Linked DNA regions of Drosophila melanogaster. The gene in region 4 interacts genetically with the main gene of each other region. Each region holds a gene or a part of one and is shown on either strand. Other genes may lie near its edges.

Region 1 (6,282 bases), on a different chromosome or scaffold from region 4:
AGTGCTGCTGGTCGCCTTCCGTCACACTGACCACGCCAGCCCGATTGAAGAGCTCTATCAGCGTGGTCTGCACGCTGCTGGCGAGCAGCAGTGTGAGCATGAGGAACTTCAACGAGAATAAGTCGCCGTTCAGCAGATCCTGCGCGTGTCCCAGTCGCCGGCTGCGCACGTGACGCAACTGTCGCACCATTGTAATCAAAAATAGGAACAGCGAGATGCTCAGCTGCCAGGTGAGAAGCAGCTGGCTGTTGCCGTGCGACATTACAAAGGCGAGAGCGTGGCCCAGCAGGTGCGACAGCGAGTAGTCCAGCACGAAGGCGTTGACCAGAGCCGTGGGCAGCGCGCTCGCGTTCCAGGACGTCATCATGATCAGGATCTGGGTGGTGAAGATGAAGGTGGAGAACTGCCAGGAGAGTAGGGCGCAGGCGGTGAAAAGCGACATGGCGAAGATCTTCGAAGGGCAAAGATGTTACTGAGCTTAATGCAATAAAGCACACCTATTACCATGAACATGCGAGATGTGTGCCGCTGTCGGTGTATGATCCTTCCGATGCAGATACACAGATAAAACATCTGCAGGAAAATGAACGGAAAGGCGAAGTTCTCCCGCGCCAGCGGCCGCTCATAGATCTTGGCCACGAAGCTGTGGAACATCAGGTACGAGATTACGCCGTATATGCCACCGAAAATGTTCTCGCTGAGCAGCGTTCCGTACAGGTAGAGTACCAGCAGGGTTACCCCGCCCATCAGCCACACGAACTCCAGATAGAACTGCATCGGTTGCACCATTGGATTGAAGCCGGAGCGCACTACGTGAAAGAAGTACCTTTGGGGAGCGAAAGTGCATCTGCATTAGTGGACTTTTTGGGCATCACTCCTCTGGCAGTCACTTACGCCGTGACCAGCTCCGGCAGCACGTAGAATCGCTGCAGCACATTGACACTGTGCGGATACTCGATGTCCGTGACGTTCTTCAGCTGCTCGTAGCCGTGCCAAAAGTCCGGCCCTTCGGCCAGCTGCTTGTAGAAGGCATAGTACAGGGCATCCTCGCGCCGCAGAAGCGCCTCCCGCTCCAGCTGATTGAGCTGCTGGATGTTGGTGCGCGTCTCGAAGATCACGCGCACATGCTGCACGTATAGGAAGAAGAAGCCGCAGCCTGGGATGCGGATTGGAATTGGGAGTGTGGTCAATGGCAGTGGGAATCCCCAACTCAATTAGACTGCCGCCTGGAAGCGGAAGAGGCGTGGCAGAAGTGTCTGCCGGTTGGCGGAAACTCACCGATCAGCGCGTGCGACAGGATCACGTACAGGTTGGGCTCGCGCATCGTGCTGCGATTGTGGGTGTCGTCTCACTGGGTGGCTGTGTTCAAATTGGCAATCATTATTTATTTCACAACGATTATTCCTGGCTCCGCACAATAAAAACCAGCCAGCAATCAGCTGTTCTTCGGCCGTGCTTGTCTAGGGTGACCGTACCGAGTTGCTGTCAAAAGGGTCATTTGTGTTGGTTTGGTCACACTGAATTTTAGGTACATTACGATATATAGGTACATACCTATAATTAGTTATATTATCTACTGCACTTTTGGAATTTTTAATTATTTATATTGCATATCATTTATTGCACTTATTAAGTAAAAATTTGTACATTAAGAAATATATACATATAAATATTTATAATATATAATAATATATAAGTTAAAGTTCGTTCCAACTTTTATCACTTAATAAATGTTTATTCGCAGATAATACTAATACCTACTGCCACAGATAAAAGCGCAAACTAGTCTTGTATTTGTCTTGGATTGTATCATGATCTGGTCTATATAGATTTTTAGGTACAATTGCTGTCCAGCAAAAGCGTCATTTATCAGAAAAGGAACCCTGTATGAGCAATCTAGTATTTTCATATACCTACGTACCGAAGCCGAGTTCCCACCTCGGAGTCAACCTGCTACGGTCATACCGCACGCACTTCAGTGGTAATCACATCCCAATCCGCAGCAAAACAAAGAATAACCATGAACCGCTACGCGGTAAGCTCGATGGTGGGGCAAGGATCCTTCGGGTGCGTATACAAGGCGACACGCAAGGACGACAGCAAGGTGGTGGCCATCAAAGTGATCTCCAAGGTGAGTGGGGCGGGCCAGGTGATAAAGCAACAAGTCCATACAACTAGTTCACACCATATTCATGTTCTGCAGCGCGGAAGAGCCACGAAAGAGCTGAAGAATTTGCGCAGGGAGTGCGACATTCAGGCCCGGCTGAAGCATCCGCACGTCATCGAGATGATCGAGTCCTTCGAGTCGAAGACGGACCTTTTCGTGGTCACTGAGTTCGCGCTGATGGACCTGCACCGCTACCTGTCCTACAATGGAGCCATGGGCGAGGAGCCGGCACGTCGGGTGACCGGGCATCTGGTGTCCGCTCTGTACTACCTGCATTCAAACCGCATCCTCCACCGGGATCTCAAACCGCAAAACGTGCTGCTCGACAAGAACATGCACGCGAAACTCTGCGACTTTGGACTGGCCCGCAACATGACCCTGGGTACCCACGTGCTCACCTCGATCAAGGGAACGCCCCTCTACATGGCCCCGGAGCTGCTGGCGGAGCAGCCGTACGACCATCATGCGGACATGTGGTCACTGGGCTGCATAGCCTACGAAAGCATGGCCGGTCAGCCGCCCTTCTGTGCCAGCTCCATCCTGCATCTGGTGAAGATGATCAAGCACGAGGACGTCAAGTGGCCGAGCACGCTGACTAGCGAGTGCCGCTCCTTCCTACAGGGCCTGCTTGAGAAGGACCCCGGTCTGCGCATATCCTGGACGCAGCTGTTGTGTCACCCCTTCGTTGAGGGACGCATCTTTATCGCAGAAACGCAGGCGGAGGCGGCCAAGGAATCGCCTTTCACAAATCCCGAAGCCAAGGTTAAGTCGTCAAAACAGTCCGATCCGGAGGTAGGCGATCTGGACGAGGCCCTGGCCGCTTTGGACTTTGGCGAGTCGCGACAGGAAAACTTGACCACCTCCCGCGACAGCATAAACGCCATTGCTCCCAGCGATGTTGAGCATCTTGAGACCGATGTGGAGGACAATATGCAACGTGTGGTCGTTCCCTTCGCGGACTTGTCCTACAGGGATCTGTCTGGTGTTCGGGCAATGCCGATGGTACACCAGCCGGTGATCAACTCGCACACTTGCTTCGTCAGTGGCAACTCCAATATGATCCTCAATCATATGAACGACAACTTCGACTTTCAGGCTTCCTTGCGGGGCGGAGGCGTGGCCGCTAAGCCAATAGTCGCTCCAACCGTACGCCAGTCGCGCAGCAAGGATCTAGAGAAGCGTAAGCTTAGTCAGAATCTGGATAACTTCTCTGTTCGCTTGGGTCACAGCGTCGACCATGAGGCGCAACGCAAGGCCACGGAGATTGCTACACAGGAAAAGCATAACCAGGAAAACAAGCCTCCCGCTGAAGCAATTTCCTACGCAAATTCTCAGCCCCCGCAGCAACAGCCACAACAACTTAAACACTCAATGCATTCCACCAATGAGGAAAAGCTGAGCAGCGAGTAAGTGGCCACTGCGCCTCATAGAATTTCTTTTACTAACTTTCCCCTTTCAATAACAGCAACACTCCGCCGTGCCTGCTCCCGGGGTGGGATAGCTGCGATGAATCCCAAAGTCCGCCCATCGAGAACGATGAGTGGCTAGCCTTCTTGAACAGATCGGTGCAGGAGCTGCTTGACGGCGAACTGGACTCATTGAAACAGCACAACCTGGTGAGCATTATTGTGGCACCGCTGCGCAACTCCAAGGCCATTCCACGGGTACTCAAGAGTGTGGCCCAGTTGCTGTCGTTGCCCTTTGTGCTGGTGGATCCTGTTTTGATTGTTGACCTCGAGCTCATCCGCAACGTGTACGTGGACGTAAAACTGGTGCCCAATCTCATGTACGCCTGCAAGCTGCTCCTGTCGCACAAACAACTCTCGGACTCGGCTGCCTCCGCCCCACTCACCACGGGTTCGCTCAGTCGAACGTTGCGTAGCATTCCGGAGCTAACTGTCGAGGAGCTGGAGACGGCTTGCAGTCTGTACGAACTGGTCTGCCACTTGGTACACCTGCAGCAGCAGTTCCTAACGCAGTTCTGCGATGCGGTTGCCATTCTGGCAGCAAGCGATCTGTTCCTCAACTTCCTCACGCACGGTAAGATTACCCTTAGATGGTATGAGCTGACTCCTGTAAACTGTTAGCCCGTTCCCGTTCTCCCGTAGACTTCAGGCAATCGGATTCAGACGCCGCCTCTGTTCGCCTGGCTGGGTGCATGTTGGCCCTGATGGGCTGTGTGCTGCGCGAGCTGCCCGAAAACGCGGAGCTTGTAGAACGGATTGTCTTTAATCCGCGGCTAAACTTCGTCTCGCTCCTGCAGAGCCGACACCACCTGTTGCGGCAACGTTCCTGTCAGCTGCTGCGCCTGCTGGCCCGCTTCAGCCTGCGCGGCGTGCAGCGCATATGGAATGGAGAGCTGCGATTTGCGCTGCAACAACTCTCTGAGCACCACTCGTACCCGGCACTCCGTGGGGAGGCCGCCCAGACCCTCGACGAGATCAGTCACTTCACTTTTTTCGTCACCTAGCCGGCACTTTCTTTTATTGGCCTCAGGCGTTTTTATCCGAGCAGATCCTGAATGTTGCCCTGGAAGTAGTCGAGCAGTTCGTCGATGTAGTTCCCGAAGCGGTCGAAGTTGAGCAGGTAGTCCTCGCTGCAGTCCTGTTCGTACATCTCGTTTAGCTTGGACACATCCTTGTCGGAGAGGCCGCGTCTCTGGCCCAGCGAGGCGTACGGATCCTGGAAGCAAAGGACAGGAGTCAGAGAGTGTAGACGATGCAAGCTCCCCCAAGTCATTACAAACATCTCATCGCTTCAACTAAAACTGCTAAGGTGTAGTCAACCATTCAGCTAAAGAATTCTCATTTGATATAGTTCCAACTGGACAAGGAAGCAAAATGCTTCGTCTATTCCTAGCATAGTTGCACGTCATTGGACCATGTGTTAATATAGGAATTCCTAATCTGAATATGATCAAATCACTATCACTATCGAATTTAAATATTTTATGAGCCACGGTTTTTGGCATTCCTAATGGAATCTAAGTTAATTGATAGGTGTTTTTGAATGCACATATTCAAGTGTGGTTTGTGCAAAATAGATTGATAGCATTATAGTTTGTATATCGAAATATAACATTTAGGTGTAGTAATTGTTAAGATAAGCGAATTTACTGTATGTCCATACAATAGTCCATTAATTCGCAGTATTACTATTGAATGTTAAACTGAACTCCTTTACAGTGTAAGCGATTTAAAATAATACTCAATTACATGAATAACTGGTAACCATTTGGGTTGGCCTACTCACCAATGGCTCTATGGTGGCTTTCCCGTTCTTGCTGAAGGCCCGCGAGCTGTAGTGCATGACGCTCTGGTAGTCGTACTCCACCCCGAAGTTGGTGATGTGGGTGCGGGCGTACTTGTTGAAGTTGTGCGCGTGCCCGTCGAGGATGTTCTCCCAGTTGATCTTGACGTACTCATCCCGCTCCGTGGCGCTCTGCTGGTGGTAGAAGCCGAGCGCGTGCAGCAGCTCGTGCACCACCACGCCGTGTGTGACGCACTTGGGTGTGTTCAGGTTGAGCACCTGGCCACCCGAACGCCGGCCGACGCTCGACCAGCAGCCGGAGTAGTTGCCCTTGATGAGCAGCCAGTGCTTGTCGCCCTGTTCGTACGGCCGGAAACGTATGCAGGTGCGGTCGTGGTACTCCTTGAAGGCCTTCAGTATGACCATGGTCTGGTTGGCGTCTGTTTGGAAAGGGTGTTTTACTACTTTGGACTGCTTGCAGGCCTTAACTCACTGAAGTCTTGCGGGTCTATGTAGAAGGGCACGGCGGCCTCTGGCCAGGTGAGCCGCTCGTTCAGCAGCCCGTTCCTCAGCAGCTCGCGGTGCAGCATGATGTCGCCCTCGAAGAGGCCGCAATGCTCCCATATGTTCGTATCGCTGTCCTCCGTCCAGAAGTTGAAGGCAGGACCTGCAAGTGCCAATGGTTGAGTGCATCGACTACTAGCGTCTGATATGATGTTGGGTACCTACTGTTGTGCCGGCGCAGCATCTGCATATTGGCGCCCCACCTGGCAGCGGGCGGCACCGCGGGTCGTGCGCGAAGAAGCGCCTTTCGCGTGGCCGGGGTACTCGCCTCCAAGGTGGCGGACAGGGCCAAGGCCAGGGCA
Region 2 (5,442 bases), on a different chromosome or scaffold from region 4:
TTTTATTTTTATTTACATATGTAAATATACATATGTATATAAAACCGTTCAAAGGCATTCGAAGAGCATATGTACATACCTATATTGTAATAATGTTCTAAATAACATTTTTTTTACATACTTAAATTAAAAACAGAATTTTTTTTTAAAGAAAGGATGTGGCTTTCTTAATGTTCCTTATTATTATTGAAATAAACTGGGTATACAAACTTTTTGAATCTTTTATTTTATATTATAACCACTACGAGTACACGGGCGAGAAGGCATTAAAGTATAGTAACATAATATAAAATATACTATGGTATTTATACAAAAAATTTTGTCATAACAAATATTTGTTCGGTATAAAATATATGTACATATATACATACGATGCAAAGTATATAACGGCCACAAACTGCCGAAGACTGTCACACCCTTTTAAAAGTGACTTTTAAAAGTGATGTACCAAAAAAAAGTCATACCCACTTCGAACGATCACAAATTACAAAACCCTTGGAGGTTTGCAAAATACCTCTTTTTGAGATTAAATATATTATCAGTTTATTTCTTCAAAAACACCAAAAATTATCAGTATAACTTCATCACCTACCCATTAATATAAAACTTAACTAGTTAAAATCACCTTTAAAGACGGGGTTAAAAGACAGATGCCACCAAAAAGTACATATGAATATTCTTGGACAGCCATATTCACTGAATATTAATGGCATAATGAAAATAATTATGCTCTCCACTTTATTCGATAAATTTTACTAAATTTGACGACTAATTATGTAGCTTTATCAAAACTGTGGCTTGCCAAAGCTATCTTGTACTAGGCACAATTATATTTAATAGTTCAAGTCGCTTTTTTTTTTAATTACACGCGTTATGAACAAACAAGTCTCCGAAATTGTATTTTTCTTTAAGTAGTGTGTCTTTACTATTAAATACCTTTTTCAATAAACACAGCCAAAATTACTAATGCAGTTCGGAAATAGACGCGTTTCCATCATTAAAGTAGAACATTGATTGACATGAATTTATAAACTTTGTTATATTGCTTTGTTTAAAACATTGTCGTTATACTCACCTAGATCGTCTTTAGACCGCAAAATGTCGTCTAGGTTAAAGCCGTATATCAGATAAAAGAAATTGATTGACCCTAGCCGAATCAATCTAGTTATGCCCGTACGTAATATCGTGTCGGAAATTATAAATCCAATTTGGTTCAAGACAGTGTTGTTGAATTGACCAATACAGAACTAAGGGGCGAAGTGTTGCAATCGAAATATTAATTTTCAAAATTTATAAACAAGTATTTAAGCGCTGCCAGAAGTAACATTTATTTAAGCATCAACATTGCTATAACCACATACCCAAGGGGTTGGAAACATTTTAATTGTTGGATTGTTAGATTACCGAGTCTACTACCTTATTAACATCATATACTATTTAATGAAACTAGTATACCCAATATACCCATAAGATAGGGGTAAAAATTCGATGCATTAAGTACACTGAGTGCAAAAATACTGTGTCGCAAATATTACACCAAACCAGTCTTGATAGGATAGAAAACAGTTATGTATGTTTTCATCAAGAATGCTATTCGCAAGGGCAAGGCTATAATAGATAAATACGACTACAAATACATGTTTGTATTTTAATATACTGGATATACTGGGTATAATGGGTACAAATATCAACGAGATAGCCAAAATCAAGATTGAATCGGGTGTACAAGCTACTGTAAGATTAATCTATATATATATATATATGTATGTGTGTATATGTATATAGAGATAGGCGTTGCCAATAACTTTTGCGTTTTTTGCTTAAAAATAATATTGTATCGCCGAGGACAAAAATTACCCACTGAGAGACACAAACTACTAGCGTAAAAATATCTATATTAACAGCACTGGCATCGAAAAGTATCTTAACTCACGTACGAGTATATGTATTGTGTGGCCATCTTCGATCTGCCCGCCTTCGCCGACTGTTCGTGATCCGTAGGTACACACAGACATTTAAATCACCAATGCACTTGTTACTGTATTGTATTTATGTTTGTGAACCTACACGTATCTATGTAGAATCTGTACAAGTATCTGTGTTTGGACAATGGCATGTGTGAGAGGAGATCCGAACTGCTCCATCTAAACTAACGAAGCATTGCAACAGCTAGTGTTAATGTCGCTCAGTCCACTCGTAAGAAACATAGGAATAAGACGCAGCATTCAAAAAATATTGACTTGTCTTACAAAACTGATTTTCATTGTTCGCTACTTAATATTTAGTGATAAATATATTACTTCGGGACTGATAATCTTATGAATATACGTGTGAGATTTGGCGATACCCTTCATTACTTAGGAAGCCGAGCGCATAAGCTCACACCATTATAATATTTAAGTGATATGAATATTAAATATTAAAATTTAAAACCAACTTTTTAATCAAAGAGTTTCCTTAAAATTGTTTAAGTTGCCGATCAAAAGTGGAAATTTATGCGTGCCGTTATTTGAAATACCAATCTTTTGAAAATGTTTACGCCGACGGTTAATATTATTTAAAAGGATAATTGAATTTATAAAACGACGTCATTCTTGTTGTGGACTAACTTTAATGAAATGGACGCCTACGCGTTACCTACATATTTTCCTCTTGCGTAAGTTTTTATTTGCATATTCGAGAAGTAAGCCTTACAATAGAAAAATATCTACATTTTTGTTTAAAACGAGGAATTTTAAGATTACAGTCCATGAAATGTTTAGAAATGTGTAAGTTAAATAATAACAATTAAATAATAATAATTAAATAATTAAAAAAATAAAAAATAACAATAATTATTGTTATTATTATTATAATAATTATATATAATTACATATAATTATATATATATTATATAATTATTGTTATTATTATTATAATAACAATAATAATAATAATAAAAATAATAATAATAATTTTAATAATTATAATAACTATGGTAACAATAAAAAAGAATAATAATAATAACGATTAACGGGTATAAAAATGTTTATTATTATTATAATTACTATTATTATAATTTTTATGATTAATCAATAAATAATAAACATTTTTATACCCGTTACTAGATTCGTTGAAATGAATGTAACAGGCAGAAGGAAGCGTCTTAGACCATATATAGTATATACATACATGTATATTCTTGATCAGGATCAATAGCCGAGTCGATCTTGCCATATCCGTCTGTCCGTATGAACGTCGAGATCTCAGGAACTATAAAAGCTAGAAGGTTTAGATTCAGCATACAGAGACAAAGACGCAAGTAGCCATGCCCACTCTAACGTCCACAAACAGCGCAAAACTATCACGCCCACACTTTTGAAAAATGTGTTGTTCTTTTCACATTCTGATTAGTCTTTTACATTTCTATCGATTTCTAAAAAAAAACTTTTTGCCAACGCCCTAAAACCGCCCAAAACTCCGACACCCACATTTGTAAAAAATTGTTGGGAATTTTTTTCATAAATTTATTAGTTTATTATTTATTATAAATTTAAGTTTATATCGATTTGCCGACAACATATTTTAATTTTTTTTCTCATTTTATCTTTTATCTATCGATATCCCAGAAAAATTGTGCAATTTCGCATTCACACTAGCTGAGTAACGGGTATCTGATAGTCGGGAAACTCGACTATAGCATTCTCTCTTTTTGAAATTGCGGACGTGCCCGTTTCTGCGGTTAAGAGCGAGCGTGGAAAAAATAATTTTTAAATATCGATAGAAGTCGTAATCTAATTTTGAATTTAAAACGCTGCATTCAAAGATATTGCTATGTTAACATCGAAGCTAGCCAAAAGAAAATTATGTTGGCGTTTACATAAAAATTATATAATAATAAATAGTAAATACATTAAAATACTTAAAAAAATTAGACTCTAACTTTATTGTTGGTTGATCGAGAAGTTACTTGAATCTGTATGTCTGAGATTAATAATCAAGAATTTTTTTATATATCAAATGAATCGGATTATAATAGCGGGGTTTCTTATAATCATGTATCTAATGTCTTTGCTTATGCTTGCCGGTTTGAGGGCGTTAGAGCGATACAAAAACTTTTTAGCGAATCGATAGAAATTTGCAAGACTTCATGAAAAACAAGAGAGACTGTTATAGTCAATTTTCCCGAATATCACAAACCCGTTACTCAGCTAGTGAAATGGAGAGTCCAAAATTTCATAATTTTTCTGGCATATCGATAGATATTGGGGAAAAAAATGAGAAAAATAAAAAAAATTACTGAAGTATGGGCGTTAGCATTTTGGGTGTTTTGTAATTGTTAGGAGGGGCCGAAGTGTTTTTGGCTTACCATAAACATTGACATCAAATTAAATAAAATCAAAACATTTTGCAAAAGTGTGGGCTTGGCAGTTTGGTCGGTTTGTGTTCGTTAAAGTAGGCGTGGAAACATCGGTTTGTATGGATGGGTATGCTTAATCTGAACCTTCTACCAAAGACACTAGAATAACAAGATGCGTAACGCCATACAATTTTTTGGCACACGATTTTTTCGCCGTGGCTCTAGAGGTGGCTCCAGGCTCTCTCGAATTTTTGTTAGAGAGCGAGAGAGCAGAGAGTGCTACAGCGAACAGCTCTTTTCATCGCATAAAGTGATAGCAGACAACTGTATGTGTGCACACGTATGCTCATGCATTGTAAATTTGACAAAATATGCCCTTCACCTTAGAAGTTCTTTGACTTTAAATCTATATTATTTTTGATCAATTGGCACCATGTGAAAAATTCTTGTTTTGCATTGCCTTAACGTTATTATTATATGAAAATAGATTAGAAAGAGCCAAATCTATGTACATATTATCACAAAAATAAATTTAAAAATGACTTTATATATTTAGAATATTTGTCATTAGAGTATTCGTCTTGCGGCGTGTAAAAATTAATTAGGCAATGATTGTTGAGTGCTTGTGTCCGCACTTCGTGCCTCAAGATATGACCAAAGCAAAGACACTAGAATAATTCTAGACTTTTGCAATAAACAGTTATCATATTCTTATGGAATTTATGAAATTCCAGTAGTTATAATAATTTCTATTGTACTTCCTTTAATTATTTACTATATTTATTAAGTCATTTAACATTAAAAGTGTTTCAAAAAAAAATATTTCGCTTTTAAAAAATTGTCAGATGAGAGACAAATTAGAATTAAACATAAATATATATGTGTAAACGGTAGCTAATTCGATCGGCGATTTTAACAAACAAATTTTAAAAGCTTTAATTAAGCGCGAATTTTAAAAAAATTATTTAATTTCATCATATTTCTAGGAAATTGGCAAAAACTACCCTAATATGTACAATGTAAATTCGTTTTTTCGATCAGAATTGATTTCGGCCCGAAAATAGTCTTCTAGCACAACACGCACACATATACGCGTTCTCGTC
Region 3 (5,474 bases), on a different chromosome or scaffold from region 4:
TATCAGAAGGAGGTGGGTGCGAAGAGGGAACTGGAGGAGACCTTCTCTCGCCTATGGACCGAGTGCCAGCGATGCCAGGAATCCTTGCACGAGGAGGTCATCTGCTCCAACAGAGATTGTCCCATCTTCTACATGCGACAGAAGGTTCGCATGGATCTGGACAATCAGGAGAAGCGGGTGTTGCGATTCGGCCTGGCCGAGTGGTAACCATTGCATGAGTTTAATGAATTGTTTAATCCTATAATTTAATAATTATATTACTAGAAGTTATTACAAAGTTTCTTTCGGTTCGTGGATTTTTTGCGCAATCTGCAATTTGAAAAAAGCTGTTGACGTTCCCTAGCTGGCGATGCTTTGGACACACATTTTTTACACAGGGATCTGGGGGTCTGAGGACTGGCTAAGTATCTACTTGCGACTCTGCAGGGTGTTGGACAGCCAGTCCATGGCCTGGTCGAGTCCCTCGCCCTTGGTGGCCGACGTTTTGAATATTTGAAATGTGCGGTTCTTTAGGTTCTCCAGTCCTAACGCATGATGGACCTCGGCGACGGTCATGCATCCGTCCATGTCCTGCTTGTTCGCCAGGACGACCAGTATCGCGCCGGCCAGCTCCTCCTCACGCAGCATGTACAGCAGCTCGTCCTTGGAGATGCCAATGCGGTCCCGGTCCGCCGAGTCCACCACATAGATGATTGCGTCCGTGTTGCTGTAGTAGCAACGCCAATAAGGTCTATAATGGAAATAGCACGAATTGAGATTAGGATTACCATTCTTAAAGGCCAAATAGATATATGTACGTAGCCTGCCTAAAGAAAGAACTATTAGCTATTTTAAGTTAAGTTGTGGATGCAGATGTTTCCTATCTTATCAGCTACAATTATAATGGCTTTTTGGAAACCCAAAAGGCTTACTAAACTACAACCGAAAATATGTCTTCTAGATATTAAATAAGACTTGGGTAATGCCATCACAATACTGCTCTCGTGTAACCAACTCACCTAATACTTGTCTGTCCGCCCAAATCCCAGACCTGGAACTTGAGGTTCTTGTAGGTGACCTGCTCCACGTTGAAGCCGATGGTGGGTATCGTGGTGACCACCTCGCCCACCTGCAGTCTGTAGAGGATCGTGGTCTTGCCGGCGCCGTCCAGGCCCAGGATCAAGATGCGCATCTCCCGGGAGCCGAGCAGTCCGCGAAAGTAGCTGAGCACCCCACCTGGAAGAAGAACGTATGATTTTTATGACCAGACTTCGTCACCGGGTGTCGCCGGAACGGGGAGGTTCCCCACGTCCATGCTCCGTGCTGTACAAACCCATGATTACGGCTGAACTTTGTCTAGTGCTGGCGCTGCCTCTAAATGCTTAAGTTTAGTAAACCTAGTTAATTGTATGTGGTGCTACAATTAATACAAAATCGCAGAAGTCTTGTTTTCACTTTTTTTTGGGCTGGAGAATGGTTTCGTTTTTGCCATTCGCAGGTCACGCGAACATGACGTGTCACAGCGTGCGTTCAGCACGAATATATTTTTGTAAAAAATAACATTTTAATAACTTTAAAAAAACGTTTAATATCATTAATTAAATTTAAATAAATACCATTTTAAGGAGTGCATACAGATTAATTATAAAAATATTCACAGTGACTTGTGCTGAACGCGCCCACCTTTATTGCCGGTTCACAGAGTTGCCACCCTTGCGTGACTTTTGTTATAGAGACGGCCGCCATTAGAGTTTTGCCGTCGCGTCGCGTTGTGAAAAGAGAAGAAAACCTTCTGAAAACAGTGCTAATAGGTAATACTTTCGGTGCCAAATGGAGCAATCCGATTGCGTTCTTCGCGTGCGATTAGCGTGCAGTTGATTTCGGCCGATTTGGCGTATCTTTAGCCGTTATTTTGGGTTTGCACCGGGCTGCGCGAAAAAGTGTGCCAAAAGAGGCACACAAAACGGTAGCTACGATTACATATCGTGGCTATAGCTTCTTTAATGTTGGTAAATACAGTGCATTGACGTGTGTTCCATCTGCAGATTAGGCTGCACCAGTTGCTGGATATCGCTATTGGATAAAGTCAAGAAAGGAGCTGCAATATGGCCTCGCCCTCTCCGGCGAACAGTCCCATGCCACCGCCACAGGCGCCCAGTCCGATGGCCCCGCCCTCGCAGAGTCCCGCCCCCTCGCCGCACAGCCCGTATCCGCACCAGCAGCCGGGTCCACTGCAAGGACCTCCGCCACCCGGACATCCCGGTGCCTACGGACATCCCATGCAGCACGGACCACCCGGCCAGGGTCCACCCGGGCATCATATGCCACCGCACCACCAGGGGATGAGTATGTTCTTAAACAACCCAACACCAATCGCTCCAGTCACACGTAATTATCCGTAGTTTTCTCAAAAGGTCCGCACATGGGAATGCAGATGCCGCCGACGGGACCGAACATGTCCCCCTACCAAACCCACGGAATGCCACCCAATGTAAGTGACCCCCAAGTCTAGCCGTAGGAATCAAAATAGTAAGCCTACTTAGATGTCTCAGTTCTCAAATCAAATCTATGCCATCTGGACAAACAGTAGCTCAGTGCAAACATTGAAAATATTTCCATCGATACTTTCAAAATTTTTATAATCAGTAATTAGCAAGTTTTTAAAATACTTAATACGTTTGTAAAAGATCCTATAAAATCTACATAGTATTCTAAACGGTAGATTAAGGATTTCTTTAAATTTCTTTATTTACTTTACTCTATATACAGATATGGGTACATAAATATCTAAATTCCATGTTAGACTAACATTTTTCTGAGGGATGCTATATGAAAAAGGTATAAACAATACGAAATTCGTGAAACTTTGTGAATAAGTATAGAAATACTAAATTTCCAAGTAGGTAATCTGTATATTAAGTTGTTTGCCAGCTAAATGCTTAAAATTATGGTATCATACGGTGTTGTTTTTCAAAGTCTCAAGATTGACGGGCTTTCCCGCCTTTTTGACGTGTATCGTGGAACAGCTGCCGGCGATTAAAGCTGGAATATATCCGAAAGCTCCCCATTAGCAGAGCTTCGAGCGCCAATTGGCAGTGCAGCTGACCCCAAGCTTTTCAATTAAGATCGTTGTTGCCTTGCCTAAATTACTTCTGCACCGGCTTCCCTCCCACGGACTCCTCCTGGTCTCCCTTACGCAGAAGGTCTTCGATCTCCTTGCGCAACTTCTCTGTGCCGGCGCAGATTAGATCCGGCTTCATTATGTCGAATGGTCCGCCAAAGGGATGTGTTACCACGCCTCCCGCCTCCTTAACCAACAGGGAGCCGGCGGCACAATCCCAGGGATACATGTCCTCAATGTAGAAGGCATCCAGATTGCCAGCGGCCACCATGCACAGCTCATCCACCACACAGGAGTAGGCAACAAGTCTGTGGATTTATGCAATATTTTGTAAGGGGTAATTTCTTTTTAAAAAGCTTTAAAATCTTTTTAATTATCTTCGAGAACAAAAGGCAATTAAAGCTTTTCATTTAGCAGTGACTGGTTAATTGCTTAGTACTCAGATACTTTTGTTTTGTTAATTTCACAGATTTTTACCCACTATATCAACGGGATTTAGTTTTGCGAAATAGATTCAAATTTATAAATGATTTACTTACCGTCTAGCATTCAATCCCACATGGTAGATCCTTTTGATATGCTTGTTGGCCACCGAATGGACATGCAGCAGGGACACTTCGTAGGCCACATTGGCATCCTTAACGCTCTCGCAGCTGCTCACGTGGATTGGTTTGCCATTGCAAAAGGCGCCTTGGCCCAGTTTCGTTGTGAAGAGCTTTTTCTGGACAGGATTGTTGATTACTCCCACTACGATTTGTTTGTTGATTGCCAAACCGATTGAAACGCAAACGTGTGGAATCTGCTTGATAAAGTTCGAAGTTCCATCGATGGGATCTATGATCCAGGTGGGAGCATTCGTCAGCTCTCCGGACACGTTGTTGTTCTTAGCCGTCTCCTCCTCGCCGATGAACTTGTGATCCGGGTATCTGGCCAATATTTTCTCCATGAGAAAGTCCTCAATCTTGTTGTCGTAGTCGGTGACCACGTCGTAGAAATCGCCTTTGATTGAGACGTTTTTACTGGCCATCTCGTAGCCCTCCATGAGGATCTCGCCCGCTTTGATGGCCAGGGGATGGATAAAGTTGTACAACTCCTCGATATCAGCTTGACTTACTCCTGCCATCTTGCTTCTATGCGTATTCCTTTGGGCAAAAAACGATCCGTCGCTGCTCAGCTCGCGATGTCAACTAATCGGAGAGATTGCACCCCACTGGGAGAAGCTCCACGCTCCGGCTGATTTTGTCTAGCTGGCGCTGGCGCTGGAGAAGTGCTTGCGGTTCGGTTACAATTCACTCGTTCTATGATTGTTTGCCTGCCTCGCGTTTTTATGATCGCTGCGACATCGCCCCATAGGGGTGTACTAAAAATTGGCAGCTCACCTGGCTGCGTGCCTCTGTTTTATCTCAATTGGTTTGATGTACACAAATAGACATACTCTTTTTTATCTCCACACAGACAGCCAGTCAAATAGTTGTAAAACCCGTTTTTATCAGCATTTTTCGACGCTCTCAGACTTTATTATTGGATGATTTACACACTCGAGCTGCAAGTCATAATACTCAGAGAAACCTTGCAGATATTATGTTAAAATTGATCGTAACTGTATTATAAAGATCAATCACTTGTCTTATAATCTTTAAACTTTGCTTTTATGCTTATCATTAAACATATTCGTATTGTTTCATACATCCATCATTTCCAATCTATTGAATATAGTTGTTTAGACTTCATGAATATATATTAAGCTTTATGATTTATTTAAAAGTATAGCCGCTAATTTGGTCGGCTCCTTCTATCAATTGGATTACACTTTTGGCCAATTCTTCAGAGCTGGTGCACACACAGTCGGGTTTCATCACATCGAATCTTGCACCGCTTGTGTGATATACCCTGCCACCGGCTTCCCTGAGGATTACCGCACCGCCAGCCAGATCCCAGGGCTTTAGATTCTCCACATGATAGGCGTCACATCTGCCGGCGGCTATATAGCAGAGCGTGAGAGCTGCGCATCCAAAGCTGCGGGTGCTGATAGCGGAATGCAGTGTAGATGATGGGGAATAGATCAGAGTTCTCTGGGTCACTCACCCAGTGGCACTCGAGGCCAGCTTGTAGAGACGCTTCACGTTCTTGTCCCGCCCCTTAGACACCACGATTAGGGAGATCTCATAGCACACCAATGCTTGGTTTATCTGCAAATGTTACCGAAAATGCTTGTGTCACTTACGCTTGCGAACTTCGTAGCAGATAAAGTACTAGAAAAAATATATTGGGTTATATGTGATTTTAAAGTCTTAGAAAGAAACCAACTTTTAAACTGAGTTTCATTTTTTCAAGTGATATTTTAGCTAAATTACTTAAGACCTTTAAAGTATAG
Region 4 (5,736 bases):
TATCAAATTCAAGGTAACATCTGAAATGGCTGCAACCATTTAGAATCCCCCGATGGGCGCGTGGCAGTTGCCAAATGCAATTTGGAATTGGTTTTCAAGTGAAACTCTAGCAGGCGAACAACTGGTTCGATAATACGATTTAACTTTACAGTACAGTAAAATCTGATTTTTAAAGATCTAAGTCGTTTTTGCGAAACACTAACCACTGACTAATAAATCAACAAATCGAAAGTCATTGTAACACTTGTGTGGGCGATACTAAACCCTTTAAATCAACTATATTAGTCGGTTGGCAGGCGTAATCTGTCTTCCCACAATTCTGATTATTAGTTTGTTGTTCAATAGCACCAAATCGTCCAAGGAAACTGGAAGTCCGCCATAAAAGCCCAATAGCTCGTTTATGGCGCTAATCAATAACAAGGCTATTTTTACACATCGACACTTAAAATTTCATTAAAGTAACACGAAGATAAGCTGGTGGGAAGCGTGCCGATTATATATATCAGCAACTTCAATGTCGGCCCTCTTAGGGGGTCTTGACTGTGCTAAGCCGACTTCTGGCCGCAACGCAACCACCCCACTAACTGCTGGCTAATTGGAAATGTTGTCGCATGGTGCTTGAATTGAACACTTGTTTTAGCTGTTTCGCACTTTGAAACTCAACCACCGCTCCCCCACCAACTGGGTGGTCATCCCACCGCCACCCACTCCACTTTCACTACCCCCGCCCCTTTTTTTTTATGGCGATAAGATACTGCTGTTCTTCGCCTTAGCTGGTATCTTAGCACACATTTTGTTCTGGCACCGATATAGCGCAACTAGCAACGTATAACGTATAACGTATAACTTGCACCTAAACTAATTTTCACATTTTATTTCACACATAAAAACCATCATATACCTCTTTTAGCATAAACCATAAAGTGGCAAGCATATAGTATTATGCCAAGCGAACCCAATTTCTTTCAGTGCCAGCATGTAGCTACACATGTTGGCAAATATAGGGTGACTATCTGGGGGGATAGTAACCGTGTATTGGCAAACGAACTACTTGGCTGCAGTCCGCTTATCAGACAATCGCCGGTGATAAGCGGCAAATGCTCGCGTGCCTCCACTTTTGGGGCGCGGACAGGGTGGGCGGTGGGCGGTGGGCGGTGGTTTTGGCTGAGTAAAACCTGATAAATACCGGGACTTGTAATCTCCCGCATTCGATACCCTGTTTGTTGTTCAGCGCGAAATCGAAAACGCATTTGCGAAGCGTACACACAATGTTGAGTAAACTATGTATTTGCAATGATGACCCGGGGATCGATTGGGCTCGAGGTTGTTGAACGCGTTCGCTCGGTTTGTTTGGATTTCGGGACGCTTTGCAGCTTTATGGCTTAGTTCGATGGAATTCAGGCGCTATCTACCGTTCAGCCGTCGAGTATCGGGCTTCCTGTTTTTTTGCACTTGCGAAACAAGTGCAGTGCGGCGATAAGATGCATAATTAATCATATAAATGGCCAATGCTCAAAACTAATACTATATTTCAGCCCAGTTTTATGGCAGCCATCGCCACCATAAAGTTGGTGAAATAGCCAATGCTCGATCAATGATTGGGCACTTTTCCGCCACGTAGCGTTTATCAATGGGAACCGAGTGGCACAATCTCGTGCCATCGGGCGATCGCTAGATACGGGCTATAAAACAGCGCGAGCGATAAGCGATCGCTAATTTGACAATTGAATTTACGGACCACGACGGGTGGCAAAATGTGAGTGCAGTGCGCAATAAGCACGGAATTAGCCTAGCCGCAAATCGGAACCCAGCTGTCTGATATAGAAGACGAATTCGGAACAATATCAGCAATAAAATCTCATCTAAATGGTGTGTTTGACCTCCATACCTCAGATTTAACAGGCATTTCATTGTGTTCCTATATCAAAGTAGGCTTACTTTTATCACAAAATAATACCTAGACCAAATATTAAGTGTACTATTAAAGCATTACAAGTTCCGTTTGGTAGAGTTATCTCACATTTTTTCCTAGAATTAGTCATTTATTTGGCGTAAGACTGGGTTTTCACTTCATTTGTGTTGCTAACAATACTAAATGTTAAGTAATTTCTGATTAATCGTGATTAATAAGTCAATATTTCGGTTTTTACAAATAATTTTTAAGTCACTTTGTCACAATGATTCCGATAAGCGAAACTTTCCCAATGATGTATTACAAATTTTGTTACTAGCTTACGGTGTTTGAGGGTTTTCCTTACCTTGCTCATCAAGCGATCCGCTCCGGTGCCTTCCTCGTCGCGGAAAAGGATGTCCCTGTTGTAGTTGGGCACGAGGTCCTTGAATTTGGGCGAGTCCCGACGGATCACACCCTCCAGAGGTCCGGAGGCGCTGTTCGTGTACTCGGATAGATTGGGAATTGTCTGCTTGAGGACCAGCGGATACAGGTTGCGCGCCCTATGACGACCCAATCCTCGGCCAGGACCGCAGCTGTGAGCCGGGCTAAAGACCATCGGCAAGACGATCAGCAGCAGGGCCACCAGAGAGGTCAGCCTGCTGAGGCAACGCTGCGTATGCGCAATGTGGCGCATCGTTTGCGTTTCTTCTTGCGGGATTGCGGAGATGGAGCTCGCTGCGGATTTGGAGCTGGAACTGGAACTGGAACTGTGGCATTTGGCATCCAGGGAGAGACAGGTGACACTGGCGGCACTGGCCCAAGGCACTGAGCTGTGGTTATCCATGATTTATCTAAGACTCGTTGTTTGCTGTTTCTCTTGATTGGATTTTGTATCTCCTTTAATTTTTTTTATTTATTTTTTTGGTTATTTAGCACTTCACTTTTGGCACACAGACACGCTTATTTGGCGACACGTTTGTTATTCAGATTTATGGTATTATTTGGATTTAAACTGGCTAAATCGAAATACTTGAGTCGGCGAAATCGCAGGTCCTAACTGACTTAACTACGGTCTTAACTGTTCTCCGCTGAACTGGCAGTTAGCTCTCGGTTCGGACAACCGTTGCGCTCGCACTGTGATTGACAAATGACATTTCCGAGCGGAGTATCGTGCGCGCAGAGTGTTCGAGTGCGAGTACGAGTACGGCAGCGAATACGAATGCGAGTATAAGTACGAGTACGACGAGGGTGCTTTCAAGAACCCTAGGCCTTTTAGCTCACACAAACACACACGCACACACACACTATCGCCTCGAGTTCATTCCGCGTTGTGATTGTATGCGTATGCCACTCGACGTTCGATCGGCTGTGGTGTTCATTTTTATGCTGCCTTATGCGCAAGGGAAGTGGAAGCGGGACAACCAGATGATGCAGCATACTCACAAGACTGGTTTGCATGTGTTAGTGCCTGAGTCTTCGGCTCTTATGTACAAGCAATGTTGGCAACAGATGTTGGATGGCATTGGCATAGTGTGCTGCGGTCCATTATGGCCATGGATGAAAGTGTGTGCCTGTTGCCAATTGGATGTGTGATAGTGTGCGTTGCTGGCGCAGAAGAGCTGCAGCATCCTCGACTGCAACTGCAATTTCTCTTAACACTTGCACTACTCGGACTCGACTCGACTCGAGTCTTGTGGCTTGTTAGCCGCTTCTGGCCCTGCAACTCCTCCATCGCAGGCCATTGTTCACTTTTTTCCGTTGCCTTTCTTCGTTTTGTTGTTCGTTTCGCTTTATTGCTTGTAAATTAATAATGTTCCGGTTTTTTGTGTATTGTGTGACTCCTGGGCAGCCTTATATATATACATACATATATATGTATATTGTATATGGTATGATATGTGGAGTACATATGGGTTCAATGCTGCTTCCGTTTGCCAGTCTTCAAGGAACGGAAAAAGTGCTTAAAACTAAAGTACTTTATGATCATCGAAGGCTCCGAGCTTATGTCACCCAGTGAGTCATTCATATGCCCCTCAGGTAGTGGTCATGTTCCGATTAGATATCGCCTTAGGACCTACAAATTACTGGTCAATTTAACAATTTCCTTCTCCGCCAGAGGTTCCGTTCAACGCCATGTCAATAATCGCAAATATGTCTATATATATTGCAAAAACCGATAACGATTTTGGCAAATACAATTTGCAATTAGGTACCTTATATTTATGCACAGCAAATAACTAAGTTGCGGATTGATGCCGCACTCTGGAAATCAATAAATTTCCAGTTTTATCTCTGTTGACTTTGGCTAATATAAAATTCCCCACAACTGGGAAATCTCCAATTTAACTTTTTAGCTTTTTCGCACTTTCAGAACTTGGATCTGTGGCAAGCGCTAATCTTTTGTTTTGGCTCTTTTTCCAGACCTTATTTATTTTTTTGCGGTTGCACCAGGTCTATTTGCACTGTCACTTGGCAAGCGCGAATTGTGGAATACGCCCGTCAATGTGTGCCCAAGAAATTGTCACTTTCCAACGGGGTAGAACCAAGGGCCAAGGTGCACCTGCTCATGTAACGGATTCCATGGGGGGGCATAGCATTTTTTTTTTTTTTGGTAACGCTCTGGAATGCAAGGCATAGCATAATAATTTCGACAAAAAACGAAATGAATCGAAGAAAAAAAATAAAACGAATCGAAAGAGGAGAAATACAATAGCTGGTCGTGGCGGCAAAAGATATAAGAGAAGGCAAAACGCCATCAACAAGATACACGGAACCAAATTAAAGATGAAGAAGCTGAAATGGAAGGGGGTATGGAATATACGAGTCTTGGATGCTGGGCCATCGGGCATTCGAGTGTGTGTGCGAGAGTCTATGTGGCTGCCACATAAATTTCTGCCTTCTTTGTGTGCGCACCGAACTCATTACGTTCGTCGCTGTGTGTATCTGTGTGAGTTTCGAATGTGTCTTTGGGCCTCCGCATCTGTATCTGTATCTGTATCTGTGGGGCGGAGCTGCTTAAGGCGCTCATTTGTGAATGAACACACAACACACCGTGAACAAGCCAGATACAGATGCGAAGACCATCCCGGGCCCATGGGCAAACAACAATCGCTCCAGCACTTAATGAGCATGAATAAATGGCATCGCAGACCGTGGAGCAAGCGAGACGGCCAGCGGTCCTCATAATCACGATCATATAGATCGCGCTCTTAGCCGAAACGGCTCACAAAAAATACAGAAAAGAGTTAAAACAAAAAAAAAAGAACACTAAATAAATAAACTAACAAAAAATGCCTTTCCAGGCCCTTCGAGATAAAAAGCCGCAGATTAGTTTCTGTAATTAGATTTGGTCCAGCTTTGATTTATGTGAATATTAATGGGACAACAGCTATAAGTCGAAATTGAATTTTAATGGCAACCTGTAATGCTGCACGGTGAAAAATGTAAAAAAGCAGTTCTTAATGTCAAAACATTAAAAAAAAAAATGAATACAATTACCATTCTTCGAAATTTGATGTTGAGAAACTATATGATCAACGAAAAGATGTGACACTTGAATTACTCATCTACCAAGTTAAGATTAATATTTTTGCCGTGTGCTAGATCCTCCAAATAGACATACCGGAAATATTCAGACCATTCGCTGGCCAACTAGAATGCTCGAGAGCCCAGCAAGCAGCTCCTTTGATTCAACTCGGCATGGAATCCATGGGCAAGATGCCAAAGAGCAGATGGAACGCCATTTTCTGTGCGCCATGGCGCGTCCGCATCCAACGGCGTCTCCGTCTGCTTTTAATTTCTTTTAATGGAAGTTGTTAACATGGCTGCTGCTGCCTCGCCCG

The links.
Region 1: of hh (region 4) and fu, changing one suppresses a phenotype caused by changing the other (phenotypic suppression), as found in Drosophila melanogaster (3 studies listed by BioGRID).
Region 2: of hh (region 4) and ci, changing one suppresses a phenotype caused by changing the other (phenotypic suppression), as found in Drosophila melanogaster (3 studies listed by BioGRID).
Region 3: of hh (region 4) and brm, changing one suppresses a phenotype caused by changing the other (phenotypic suppression), as found in Drosophila melanogaster (2 studies listed by BioGRID).

Annotation. Positions count from the first base shown.
Region 1 is NC_004354.4:18,655,820-18,662,101, forward strand, and holds fu (fused), read left to right. Parts: upstream 1-1,935; 5' UTR 1,936-2,020; coding exon 2,021-2,131; intron 2,132-2,203; coding exon 2,204-3,573; intron 3,574-3,632; coding exon 3,633-4,207; intron 4,208-4,275; coding exon 4,276-4,637; 3' UTR 4,638-4,669; coding exon of another isoform or gene 4,670-4,849; 3' UTR 4,850-5,385; downstream 5,386-6,282. Other genes in the region: CG6659 (uncharacterized protein), read right to left, coding at 1-451, 505-826, 895-1,156, 1,279-1,324; CG6696 (uncharacterized protein), read right to left, coding at 4,670-4,849, 5,420-5,856, 5,910-6,083, 6,146-6,282. UniProt on the Drosophila melanogaster protein: Probable serine/threonine-protein kinase; maternally required for correct patterning in the posterior part of each embryonic metamere. May be involved in control of cell division during metamorphosis and ovarian development. May interact with costal-2.
Region 2 is NC_004353.4:53,045-58,486, reverse strand, and holds the start of ci (cubitus interruptus), read left to right. Parts: upstream 1-2,155; 5' UTR 2,156-2,618; coding exon 2,619-2,656; intron 2,657-5,442. UniProt on the Drosophila melanogaster protein: Has a dual function as a transcriptional activator and a repressor of the hedgehog (Hh) pathway. The full-length ci form (ciFL), acts as an activator (ciA) while ciR, its C-terminally truncated form, acts as a repressor. Involved in segment polarity.
Region 3 is NT_037436.4:15,979,119-15,984,592, reverse strand, and holds the start of brm (brahma), read left to right. Parts: upstream 1-1,723; 5' UTR 1,724-1,790; exon of another isoform or gene 1,791-2,024; 5' UTR 2,025-2,084; coding exon 2,085-2,325; intron 2,326-2,381; coding exon of another isoform or gene 2,382-2,393; coding exon 2,394-2,470; intron 2,471-2,704; exon of another isoform or gene 2,705-3,125; coding exon of another isoform or gene 3,126-3,408; intron 3,409-3,639; coding exon of another isoform or gene 3,640-4,223; exon of another isoform or gene 4,224-4,493; intron 4,494-4,588; exon of another isoform or gene 4,589-4,854; coding exon of another isoform or gene 4,855-5,125; intron 5,126-5,185; coding exon of another isoform or gene 5,186-5,289; intron 5,290-5,474. Other genes in the region: PolD1 (DNA polymerase delta subunit 1), read left to right, coding at 1-207; Arl1 (ADP ribosylation factor-like 1), read right to left, coding at 409-730, 999-1,215, 1,313-1,316; CG17027 (uncharacterized protein), read right to left, coding at 3,126-3,408, 3,640-4,223; CG17028 (uncharacterized protein), read right to left, coding at 4,855-5,125, 5,186-5,289. UniProt on the Drosophila melanogaster protein: Transcriptional regulator. Acts as a coactivator, assisting one or more dedicated transcriptional activators of ANTC and BXC homeotic gene clusters. Can counteract the repressive effect of Polycomb protein.
Region 4 is NT_033777.3:23,138,784-23,144,519, forward strand, and holds the start of hh (hedgehog), read right to left. Parts: upstream 3,124-5,736; 5' UTR 2,739-3,123; coding exon 2,259-2,738; intron 1-2,258.